2 linked regions of the Caenorhabditis elegans genome follow. The protein of the gene in region 1 purifies or fractionates together with the protein of each later gene. This does not show direct contact. Each region holds a gene or a part of one and is shown in the gene's direction. Other genes may lie near its edges.

The links.
Region 2: the proteins of casy-1 (region 1) and bam-2 purify together in Caenorhabditis elegans (affinity purification with western blotting, with the first as the bait; one study listed by BioGRID). This does not show direct contact.

The regions. Positions count from the first base shown.
Region 1 is NC_003280.10:5,953,596-5,958,875, reverse strand, and holds the start of casy-1 (Secreted calsyntenin-1), read left to right. Parts: upstream 1-2,192; 5' UTR 2,193-2,231; coding exon 2,232-2,307; intron 2,308-2,360; coding exon 2,361-2,465; intron 2,466-3,151; coding exon 3,152-3,255; intron 3,256-3,479; coding exon 3,480-4,371; intron 4,372-4,416; coding exon 4,417-5,211; intron 5,212-5,261; coding exon 5,262-5,280. UniProt on the Caenorhabditis elegans protein: Cell adhesion molecule involved in associative learning and memory.
Region 2 is NC_003279.8:2,954,750-2,959,747, reverse strand, and holds the start of bam-2 (Neurexin-related protein bam-2), read left to right. Parts: upstream 1-1,837; 5' UTR 1,838-1,880; coding exon 1,881-1,956; intron 1,957-2,775; coding exon 2,776-2,974; intron 2,975-3,051; coding exon 3,052-3,206; intron 3,207-3,969; coding exon 3,970-4,417; intron 4,418-4,804; coding exon 4,805-4,915; intron 4,916-4,998.

The DNA.
Region 1 (5,280 bases):
TCCATAGCCTTCCCAGTATTCTCTTGTTCCTCCCAAAATATCGGATGTCAACCTGTTTTCGTTTTCGAATTCGAGGAACTGTTTAATATTACTACCGGATATGTATTTGCGAACAATGCAAAAATCCCAAAAGTTCATTCCATGATAACAACAATTTACAAAAAAAAGTCTGAAGCAGCTGTAAATTGAAAATATTGAAGATTGATCTATTTTCGGATACTTTAAATAATGTAGTAAGAATGAATTAAATTATCTTAGAAACTCCTTTTTCGTATACCGTACTTCCTCTGAATCGACTAAAAATATAACTTTTGTTTAAACCTAATAGCAGGAATGCGAATTTCATAGAATTTTTGGGTTCTTTCCAAGAATGTCTTGCTAAAAAAAACCAAAAATCCACATACAAGTTTATTGGATATTTTCAAAATTTCTTATTTTTTAATCCAAGAATTCATGTTTTTTGTTGCTTGGTAAAATAAATGTATCGCATATCCATACGAACTAGTGCTGATCATCTTTGTTGTTAAATTCTAACTTGTTACACCAATTTCTTTACACCAATTCTGGGACTGTTTCAATCAATCAATATTCCATTTGACATGATTGACCTCGTTGACTCATAATCATGATCATCATCCTTTTATCTTGTAAGCATTTGACTTATTCGTCGTACTCCGTCCCCTTCGCGGCGGCGTCCTTCCTCTTCCGTTTGCCTCGTCTTTCGAATGCTCCACCTCTATTGACACATGCATGCTTGTCTTCACAACTCTCAACTTCTTCTTCTTCTTGTTCCCCTTCTTGCCTCCCTTTTTCAACCCTTGATTTTTGCATGTTCGGTTCTTCCCTTTTTCTACCTAATTTTCAATTCAAACCACACATGTTATGCTTGAAGAAAGAAGAATAAGAAGAACTTCTGTCTCTTCGCATTCTTTTGCTTATTCTCAGATTTCTTTTGGCGTTTTTTTTCTTCGTGCCTCACTTCACTCTGCCGACTGAGCTCCCCACATGAAACCATGACAACCAGCTCAATGTTTTCTCTGGTTTCTCATTTTCTTAACTTCCCCCAGCACTCAATATTTCATTTTCTGATAATCGGATGTGAAGAGGAGATTAGATGGTATGAGTAGGAGGAGCAGATGCTGACTCTCGTGCTCTACTTTCTCAGCTTCAACAAGGCTCACATTCCGTTCCAGCCACTTTTTCTCGTTTCTAGAATCTTTTTCTAGAATTCAATCATATTTTCATTGAAAAAACAGCTATTTATCTACGTCAGATTTTGTTCGTTTGCCTTTCTTCCTCCTTTTCTTTTTTATTCTACTTTTTCCAGTTTCTTAGATTTCAACCCTCGTTTTGTTTCAAACTCCAAATCCCAAAACATTTTAAAACTAAATCCTGGATCTTTGAAGTTTTAAATCAAAATAATGATGCCTCTTCAACGAATTCTCATATTCAATATTGCCATTTATTTATAGTCGGTGTTGAGTAGACGCACGAATAAGAATGAGAAGACCCGCTGCTCAAGAAAAAGCTCAAGAAAGCAGCCGAAAACAAACCTTTCCTTGACACCTAATTGAAAAATTCCCCGCATTTTCTTTTTTCTCGCTCGTGCCATCCACCATTTCATTTCGAAATGTTAGTGCTCCTGACGGCTTACCGGAAAACTATGGCGTGACCAGTGCCAGGAGCTGCAGAGCTGAAACGATTTTCACAAAAAAGAAAAAAGTCGGAAAAATGACGTGTGAGGGTGGAAAATGATTGAGGCATGAAGTAGTGGTGGACAGGGAGAGAGATAGAAAAAATGTGGTTCCGTCTTTTGAACACATTGTTTTGTATATCATCACAATTTCTTTCAATAAAAAATCTAAATCTAAATCAAAAAAATATTTTTTTAATCCAGAGAAATACGAAATCCGTAGAATTTTGATCGGTGGGTTAATCTCCACTCAATTATCTTATTGAAAATTCCGGTATTTAAAATCTACAGATACCCAAAAGCCTAGAGTTTTATCATTCCACTAAGACTGTTAGTCTGTTTTTTTCCAAACACATCCACATTTACTTCCTCCATTCACTCAACACATTTTCTCATTTTTCTGCCCTTTTTGTTATTTCCTTATTCCTTCAATTATTTTCTTCTCACCTTCTCTGCTCGCAGACCTCTACTCACGCACACAAAACCAATCATTTTTCAGACGCAAATTCCAACCAGGCTCTCTTACTCAAACCCACATATGCGAACTGCGTACTTTATTTTTGTCGGCGCCCTTCTAGGCGTCTCCTACGCCAAACATCACCATGCTGCTCGAGGTAACACTTACAGATTATTGGCCGTTAGTTCTTAAATTCCAATCTATTTTCAGCGCCAATAATCAATCTGCAAGGAGCCGAAGAGCTTGTGGCTGTCGTGCGAGAAGATGAGAACATTATCTCGACCGTGCCGGATTTTGCAATCCTCTCTGAAACCGGTGAGTTGGGAGATTAAAATAAATTGTTTTCAGCTCTTACGATTAAAAATCATGATTCATATAGATATGTTTATAATCAAGCCGGCTTGTTAGATCACAAGAAACTTTAATTAAATTTTATAGTTTTCCTTTTTCCTAATTGAAGGTGTGAAAACTAACAAACCTAATTAGAGAAATACAAAAATTCAGCTACTTCCTTTAAATAATCATGCTCATTAGTATTCATGGCATTTACATTCTCAATCTTCTTCTTTTCCCTCGTGTTTCCTTCCTGACATGCCCACCTCATTTGCACAAAAATCTCATCGAAAAAGCAATGCAGCCTCTCATTAATTGTTTCGTTTTCTTTTTTCATGTTTCTTCTTCTTTTCACGCATTTTCTCTGTTTTCTCTTTGATGATGAAGCATCGTTGTCGTTGTCAGCCTGGCTCCATACACACACACACAGGATTACGAGCCACCGACGACGACGACGACGATGTAGAACACGAAGGGATTGACGTGGAAAAGAAAGAGAAAAGAAGAGGGATTAACTATGACATGACATGACAGCCGATGATTCGAGAGAGCATGAATTGAAAAAGACGGGTGATGGAATGAAAGACAAGCTAGAAAAATTGGAATATCTATCCACAATTTGAAATTGAAACAAAAATAAAGCGAATACAATTTGAGGGAATTTTCAGGGCCAGTATGCAACTACCTCCTTACATCACAGAACAATGAGCCAGTGCCATTCGACATCCAGGTTGTTGATAAGTACACTGGAGCAGCTGTACTTCGAGTTAAGGTGAGACATGATGTCATAATGTATTTTTGGAGAATAGGCATCTAATGAAAATTCCAGTATTCATATTTTAATTCGTGTGTATCAGATAATTAGTGGAAAACCGTTTTGTAAGCTTAAAAATCAATGTGTTCTTAGAAGGAATTTTCATTAAACTTTATTCAATATTTCTAAAGAAAATTAATTCTTGATGAGTCACCATTAAAGTTCAAACATTTATTATTCAGGATGCTGCCACACTAGACTGCAAGAAGCCAGAATACAATCTTCAAGTTCAAGCTGTGAAATGCGATAACGACAATGTGAAGAGTGAAGGAGTGTCTCTGAAGATCCGTGTCAAGGACACCAACAATCATGCTCCAGAAATCGAAAACCCTTGGTACACATTCCACGTGGAAGAGGGAAAAGTTGTTGAGGAAGTTGGAGTACTGAAGGCATCTGACAAAGACTGTGGACATCCAAACGGAGAAATCTGTGAATATGAGATCACAAATGGACTTAAGGAACTTCCGTTCGCCATTAACAATCATGGAGTCCTTCGTACAACTCAGCCACTCAACTTTACTCAATCAAAATCATACATTCTCACTGTAGTCGCTATTGACTGCGCAATGAGGAAAAGCAAAAGTTCTCTGGTCACTGTTCACGTTGATGAGAAATGTGTTCAAGGAATCACTGCAATGAATGAGCGTGTCAACTATGCTCCAGGAGTTGGATCAAAGCTTCTCCTCCCAGACGTATCTCTTGAATTCTGTGAAAAGGAAACAATTTGTGAACCAAAGAGTGTGCAGTCAGTCATTGAACTTCGTGCTGGACACGTTACTCAAGGTTGTGCAAGAGACACTGTCTATGATAATCAGACAATTCAATCTTGTGGACTTTCAACTGCTACTGTCAAATTGCTGAACGAAGAAGCCCTTACCAGCTCGGCTGAGAATCAGATTCTTGCTGATCAAGGAATTGAGTTTGATGGAGCCAGAGGAGTGACTGTCTCTGATGAAAATCATCAAGGACTCATTCCGGATCACTTCACATTGAGCTTCTCCATGAAACATGCTGCAGGAACTAAGGACGAGCAAAGTAACAAGCAGAACATTCTTTGCGAAAGTGATGATTTCAGTGAGTTATCTCTTTTAGAAACAACCAGTGAATATGTGTTTTCAGACATGAACCGTCATCACTTCTCTGTCTACATTCGTCACTGCAAATTGGAGGTTGTTCTCCGCCGTGAAGCTGGAGCCACTTCAGACTTCCGTGCTGCTGAATGGCGTTGGTCAATGCCAGAAGTATGCGATAATGAGTGGCATTCATATTCACTTCTCTTCAATGGCATCGATGATGTTAATGTTATCGTCGATGGAAAGAGCTTTAAGGCTGACGAACGAAATCCTGAAATCCTCGACGATTGGCCGCTTCACAAGACCAAGGCAACAAAGACCAAACTTGTTGTAGGAGCGTGCTGGCACGGACGGCAACAGAAACTTGCACAGTTCTTCCGTGGACAACTTTCCTCTCTTTATCTTCTCTCTGGAGCTGTTGAAAGTGAACGTGCAATAAAATGCGCTCATACTTGCCCAGAACAACTTCAGTTCACCGGAGTTGATGAGCTTCTTGAAAGCCAAAGTGCAACATTCTCTCCAGATCAAACCTCTCTTACATTGAAGGCTGAAACATCAAAGCAAATTGGTCAAATGCTCAAGAGAGTTGCCTATGTTAACACTCAAGAGAAACCAGCTCCAGGACACCGTGTTTTCCTTGTTGAGACTGAGGTTACTTGCAAACAAGATGACAAGAAGATGAAGCTACCATCCAGCAAAGGATACGTTTTTGTTCAACAAGCCGCTGAACCAACTCTTTCAATCTCTGCTTCGTCTCAACTCAAAAGTAATCAACACATGGTTAAGGTTGGACAAGCTATGGTTCCAGATCTCACCATAACCATCAGCCAAAACAATGCTGGTAAGTTTTAAATGCAAATAATAAGAAACATTTCGGAATTTCATTTTCAGACGGAGAACTCGAAGATGT
Region 2 (4,998 bases), on another chromosome or scaffold:
AATAAACGTGGCCGAGAAAAAATTGGTGGCCGAGAAAAATCGGTGGCTGATTTTTTTTTCTGTATTTTCAAGGAAATTTCACAGTACTTTTGATTAAAATGGCCGAGAAAAATAGGTGGCCGAGAAATAAATTGGTGGCCGAGTTTTATTTTTTAAAGAAATTTTTCAGTACTTTTGATTAGAATGGACGAGAAAAAATTGGTGGCCGAAAAAAAATTGATGGCCGAGAAAAATTGGTGGCCGAGAAAAAATTGGTGGCCAAGAAAAAATAGGTGGCCGAGAAACATTGATGACCGAAAAAACAATTGGTGGCCCAGAATGGTGGCCGAGTTTTCGCAACTTTTTTCGTTGTGAAATTTCTTTATTTTTTTCTCCTTTCCCTGTCTCCTTATCGAACACAAAAGTTCAAAGAGGACATGAGAACCGTCTCAATTGCCTGCACACATGACTCATCTCTATACAACAGAAAAAATTTCGAAACGAAAAGAAGTTCCTGTAAAATATGAAATTTTTCTTGTTCTGTGCATTTTTTTCATGGCAAAAAATTCTATGCCAAAAATAATATTGAAAAAAAAATCAATTAGCAATAAAGTTTCGGTGGCCTAGTTCTACTGGCCTAAAATTTTCAAATTGCACTTCTGTGGCCTAAAATTCTAATTTGCCACTGAAAATTATAGGCCACCAGGGCAAAACTTATGACCTAGAAAACCTCAGTGGCCTAGAATTTTCTAAAATATGAATGTGACTAGATATACAATTTTTTTAAAAATTTCGTTTTGTACTCCTCTCGGACAACCAAAATAATTTTTTTCCATATTTTTCTCTCCAAATCTGCCATTATTTTCCCACACTTTCTCCACCATATTTCTTTTTATATTTTTTTGTGTTTCATTTTTTTTGTCCCCCTCCTCCGATTCTGATGATTTATTAAACATACGTTTCGTGACATTCCCTCGCCCCGCCCATTTTGCCACCCCTGACGAGGACCACTAAGCCCTTCATTTAACCCCCCCCCCCCCACATATTCTAGTACTTTATGAGAAGCTTAACCTTTTGTGGGGTGGTCCCAAAAAAAAGTGCAGAATTTTTTTGGGAAAAAAATTTGAAAATATTTTTGTGAAAATTTTTGAAAATATTTTTATTCAAAAATATCAGGTGTTTAAATTAAAAATACATTACCTTATCTGAAATTTGAATTCCCACCAAAATTTGCTTTTGAACTCCTCTCGGAAGACCCGAAAATTTTTTTTTACTTTTCTAGATTTATTTTTTTAATTTTTCTACTTTTTTTCTTCAAAAATACCAATTTTCAAACTCCTTACTTTTCTGAAATTCAAATTTCCATCAAAATTTTAATTTGAACTCCTCTCGGACAATCGAAAAAAAAATTCAAATTTATTCGAATTTTTACTCATTTTTTAACGTTTTCATTGAGAAATAAATTTACTAAATCGAAATTTTTTAAAACCTAAAATCAAAATTAAATTTTGAAGACCTCTGGGAGAATCAGAATAAAATTTAAAATTTTTAAAAAAATAAATGTGGGCTCCTCTCGGACAATCTTAGCTTCCACCTCCTCCGAAATTTTGAAATATTAATAATTTTTGAACATTATTCCTTCTTCACCATGTCAACTTCATATTCTTTCCATTTTTCCGTTCCGCTTCCGTGCTCTCCAGGGTTCATGCTCCTGGCTCCCCGGAAATGCACGATTATTTGGGGGAATATGTATCGAAACTTTTCATCTGCCCCTCCTCCTCCCTTGAGCCCTGCTTTTATCTTTTGAGTTCATACTCTTTTTTTTTTCAAAAACCCCACTCAAAATCTTCCATTTCAGGTTTCAAATCTCCCACTTTTTTTTCTTCACTTGCTCATCAAAAATGAGCAGCGAGAGGCGGAAGGACAATCCGCTGCGCTTCGCTCTTATTTTACATTTGTTAGCGGTTTTAGTTCAAGGTGAGCTTTTTTAGCAACTCGTTGTGAGGCCCGGGTAGTAGAGGCGGCCAAAATTACGGTACCTGGTCTCGCCACGACATTTTTTGTTGCTTGGAAAAAAAGTGTGCGCCTTTAAAGGGTACTGTAATTTCAAATTTTCGTTGCTGCAAACTTTAAACTTTTCCGGCAAAAAATTGTTTTTTTTTAAACTTTTTAGAAAAATTACCGATTTTTTGAAATTTTTCATAATTTTTTCATAAATGTTCTTAAAATATATACTTTTTTTGAATTCTTTTTGGAAAAATATAGGTTTTTTTAGTTTTTATATGGCAAATTATCGATTTTTCTTTTCTTTTTTTAATCGAAAAAGTATCGACTTCAAAAAAATTTCGTTGCAAAAAGCTTCGTTGTTTTTTTTTGAAATTTTTATCGAAAAAAATTATTACCCAGACGGTGCGTTTTTGCCCCAAAAATACGGTATCCGGTCTCGACACGATAAAGCAAAAATATGTGCGCCTTTAAATTTTTTATGCTCATCAATTTTTGTTAATTTTTCAATTGAAAAAATGTGTTTAGGCTATAAAAAAGAAAATGAAACCACATAAATTTTAAATCGTGAATTCCGCAGAATTTCAAAGCTACAGTACTCTTTAAAGGCGCACACCCGTTTACATGTAGCAAAAAAATTGTCGTGGCGAGACCGGGTACAGTATGCAAAAATCACAAAACTTGATAATGGGGTAATAACCGCATGGCTCAGTAGATAGTGGCTCCGGTTAACACTCAAAAGGTCACAGGTTAGACCCCCTTCGCATCAATGCAATTTTCTCTTCATTCCAGGTGATATTCAACCCCGTTTCTCATGCTATAATCACTATTTGGCGGGAATCCGAACAAGTTCTGTACTTCCTATATCCGGTCACTCGTCAGCCCCGTCAAATGTCAAGTGTATATTCGAGAATGACGTGGCATTCACAGAAATCCACTCGGCACTCGAAAATTCGTATCAAGTGATGGGAAAGAAATCTGTCAATTTTCAGTGAGTCTTTTTTGTTTTGGATCATCTGGATCTGGGATCTAGACTTCCTAAAATATTTTTTAAAAAACTATTTACAGAGTTCTCGATTTATTCCACCTTCGGGAGCTTGTTAGGAGGTCTCATTGCACGCAGACTCTCACTGTAACCTGGAAAAATGTCCCAGAAGCTGGAAAAGGAGGCCTTAAAGTTGTTTCACTGCTCAATGAGACTACAAGGATCGAGTATAGCGGAGGTTTGTGATTTAAAGGCGCAAGGCGGAAACCTGGATTTTGTCGGCTGCTCCGAGTGGCGCAGAGAGCAGTCCTAGACAAAAGTCGGCTGCTAAGCTTACTTATAAAGCATCAAGTACCCCACAGTGCAAATGCGCTCTACTGATAATTTTTTGTTTTGTTTTGTAGTCGGTGACGACATGCTCCCAATTAATTTATGTTTGAATTTTAGAATAAATTAAAAATATATAATACTTTTTCAAAAAAAATTTGAATTTTTGTGTCAGAGCGGGCACGGAATTCTGGCTTCCCTTATAAATCGAAATGGCAAGTTTGCCGAACTAGGCCATTTTGGGTCGGACAGATTTTGTGTAGATTTACGGCGCGTTGCGTGTCGCGTCGCGGCTCGTGTTTGGTTGTAAAACTGATGTATTTGTCCGTGTGGAGTACACGACACTTTTCCACGCGTTGTCCGGCAGGCGATTGTCAATGGAGCGCGAAAAATTCATGAGGAAGGCCAGAACCCCGTGAGCGGGGAGGCAAATTTTTGCAAATTATTCTCGAAAATGCTCCCCTAATTTTTTAAAATTTGAAAAACAAAGTGACCAAAAAATTCTCTAATTTGAGGAAAACCTTTTTTATCAAAACTTGTTTCAACCGGGTTATGCTTTTTGTACAATAGAGCGCATTTACACTGACGTATCCATTTTTTAACGTCAAAATTTCTGTAGAAAATTGTGGAAATATAAATAAGTTGGAATTTACCAAAAAAAGTTAATTTTCTAGATGAACGTCAAGACTTTCTATTCGACGAAACATTCGCAGGAGTTCGTCACTTGATTCCTGATGAAGATGACAACGAATCCAATCCGACAGTAACTACAACTCGACTTTTATGCAAACACATCCCTCAACCCGAATGCCTTGTTCGCGGCAAATTCGAAGTTGATTTGGAGGCGAATTTGGAGTGGAGCTATGCGTTTTCTTTCAAGACTGACATCACAAATCAGACACTTTTCACACTTCGATGCGGTGATACTACTTCAGAAGTTCGACTTGAGAACGACTTTTTCATTCGAGCAGATGGGAATGCTCCTGTTGCAGTTACACATTTATCAGATGCCACATGGCATACTGCAATTGTGAAGCATAACCAACCGGATAGTCATTTCTTGAAAATTGATGATTTTCCGGAGATTGAACTGGGTAAATCGATTAGTGATGATACCGATAAGTGAGTTTTTGAAAGATTAAAATATTTGAATTGGAAATTTTAGAAAATGAGTTTAGGGATCAATTGTAACTGTTAAAAATTAAATGTAACTTCTTGAAAACATCTCAAAAAAAAGTTATGATGGCTCAAAAAATGGCCTAAAATTAGTTAAAATTTGAAATTTGACCGACTTGCCAAGCGGCTGGAAACTAATTTTTTTGAAATTGCCGTCAAATTTTGAGTATACAATTTAATTATCTTGGGTTTTCAACTCGATTTAGGTATTTTAACATCGATGGACGGTGAGATTTGGTTTTAAAAATTTAAACAAAAGTTTTCAATAGTTATATTTAGTTTTGAGTTCTTTTAAAAAATTTTTAATGTAATTTTTAGACTTTTTCCTTCCAGAACAATTACACTGAGTATCTCAGTTAACGGAAACATCCAACTTATCGATCCAACAGACACCAATGACGATTGTATGTACAGTTTTGACAAACCACAGAAAAGACTGCAGGAGTGAGTTTTTTCGCATTGAAATATGCTTCTTAAAATTGTTTTAACTTTTCCAAGAAAGTTATTCAATATCCTTGGCAAGTTAA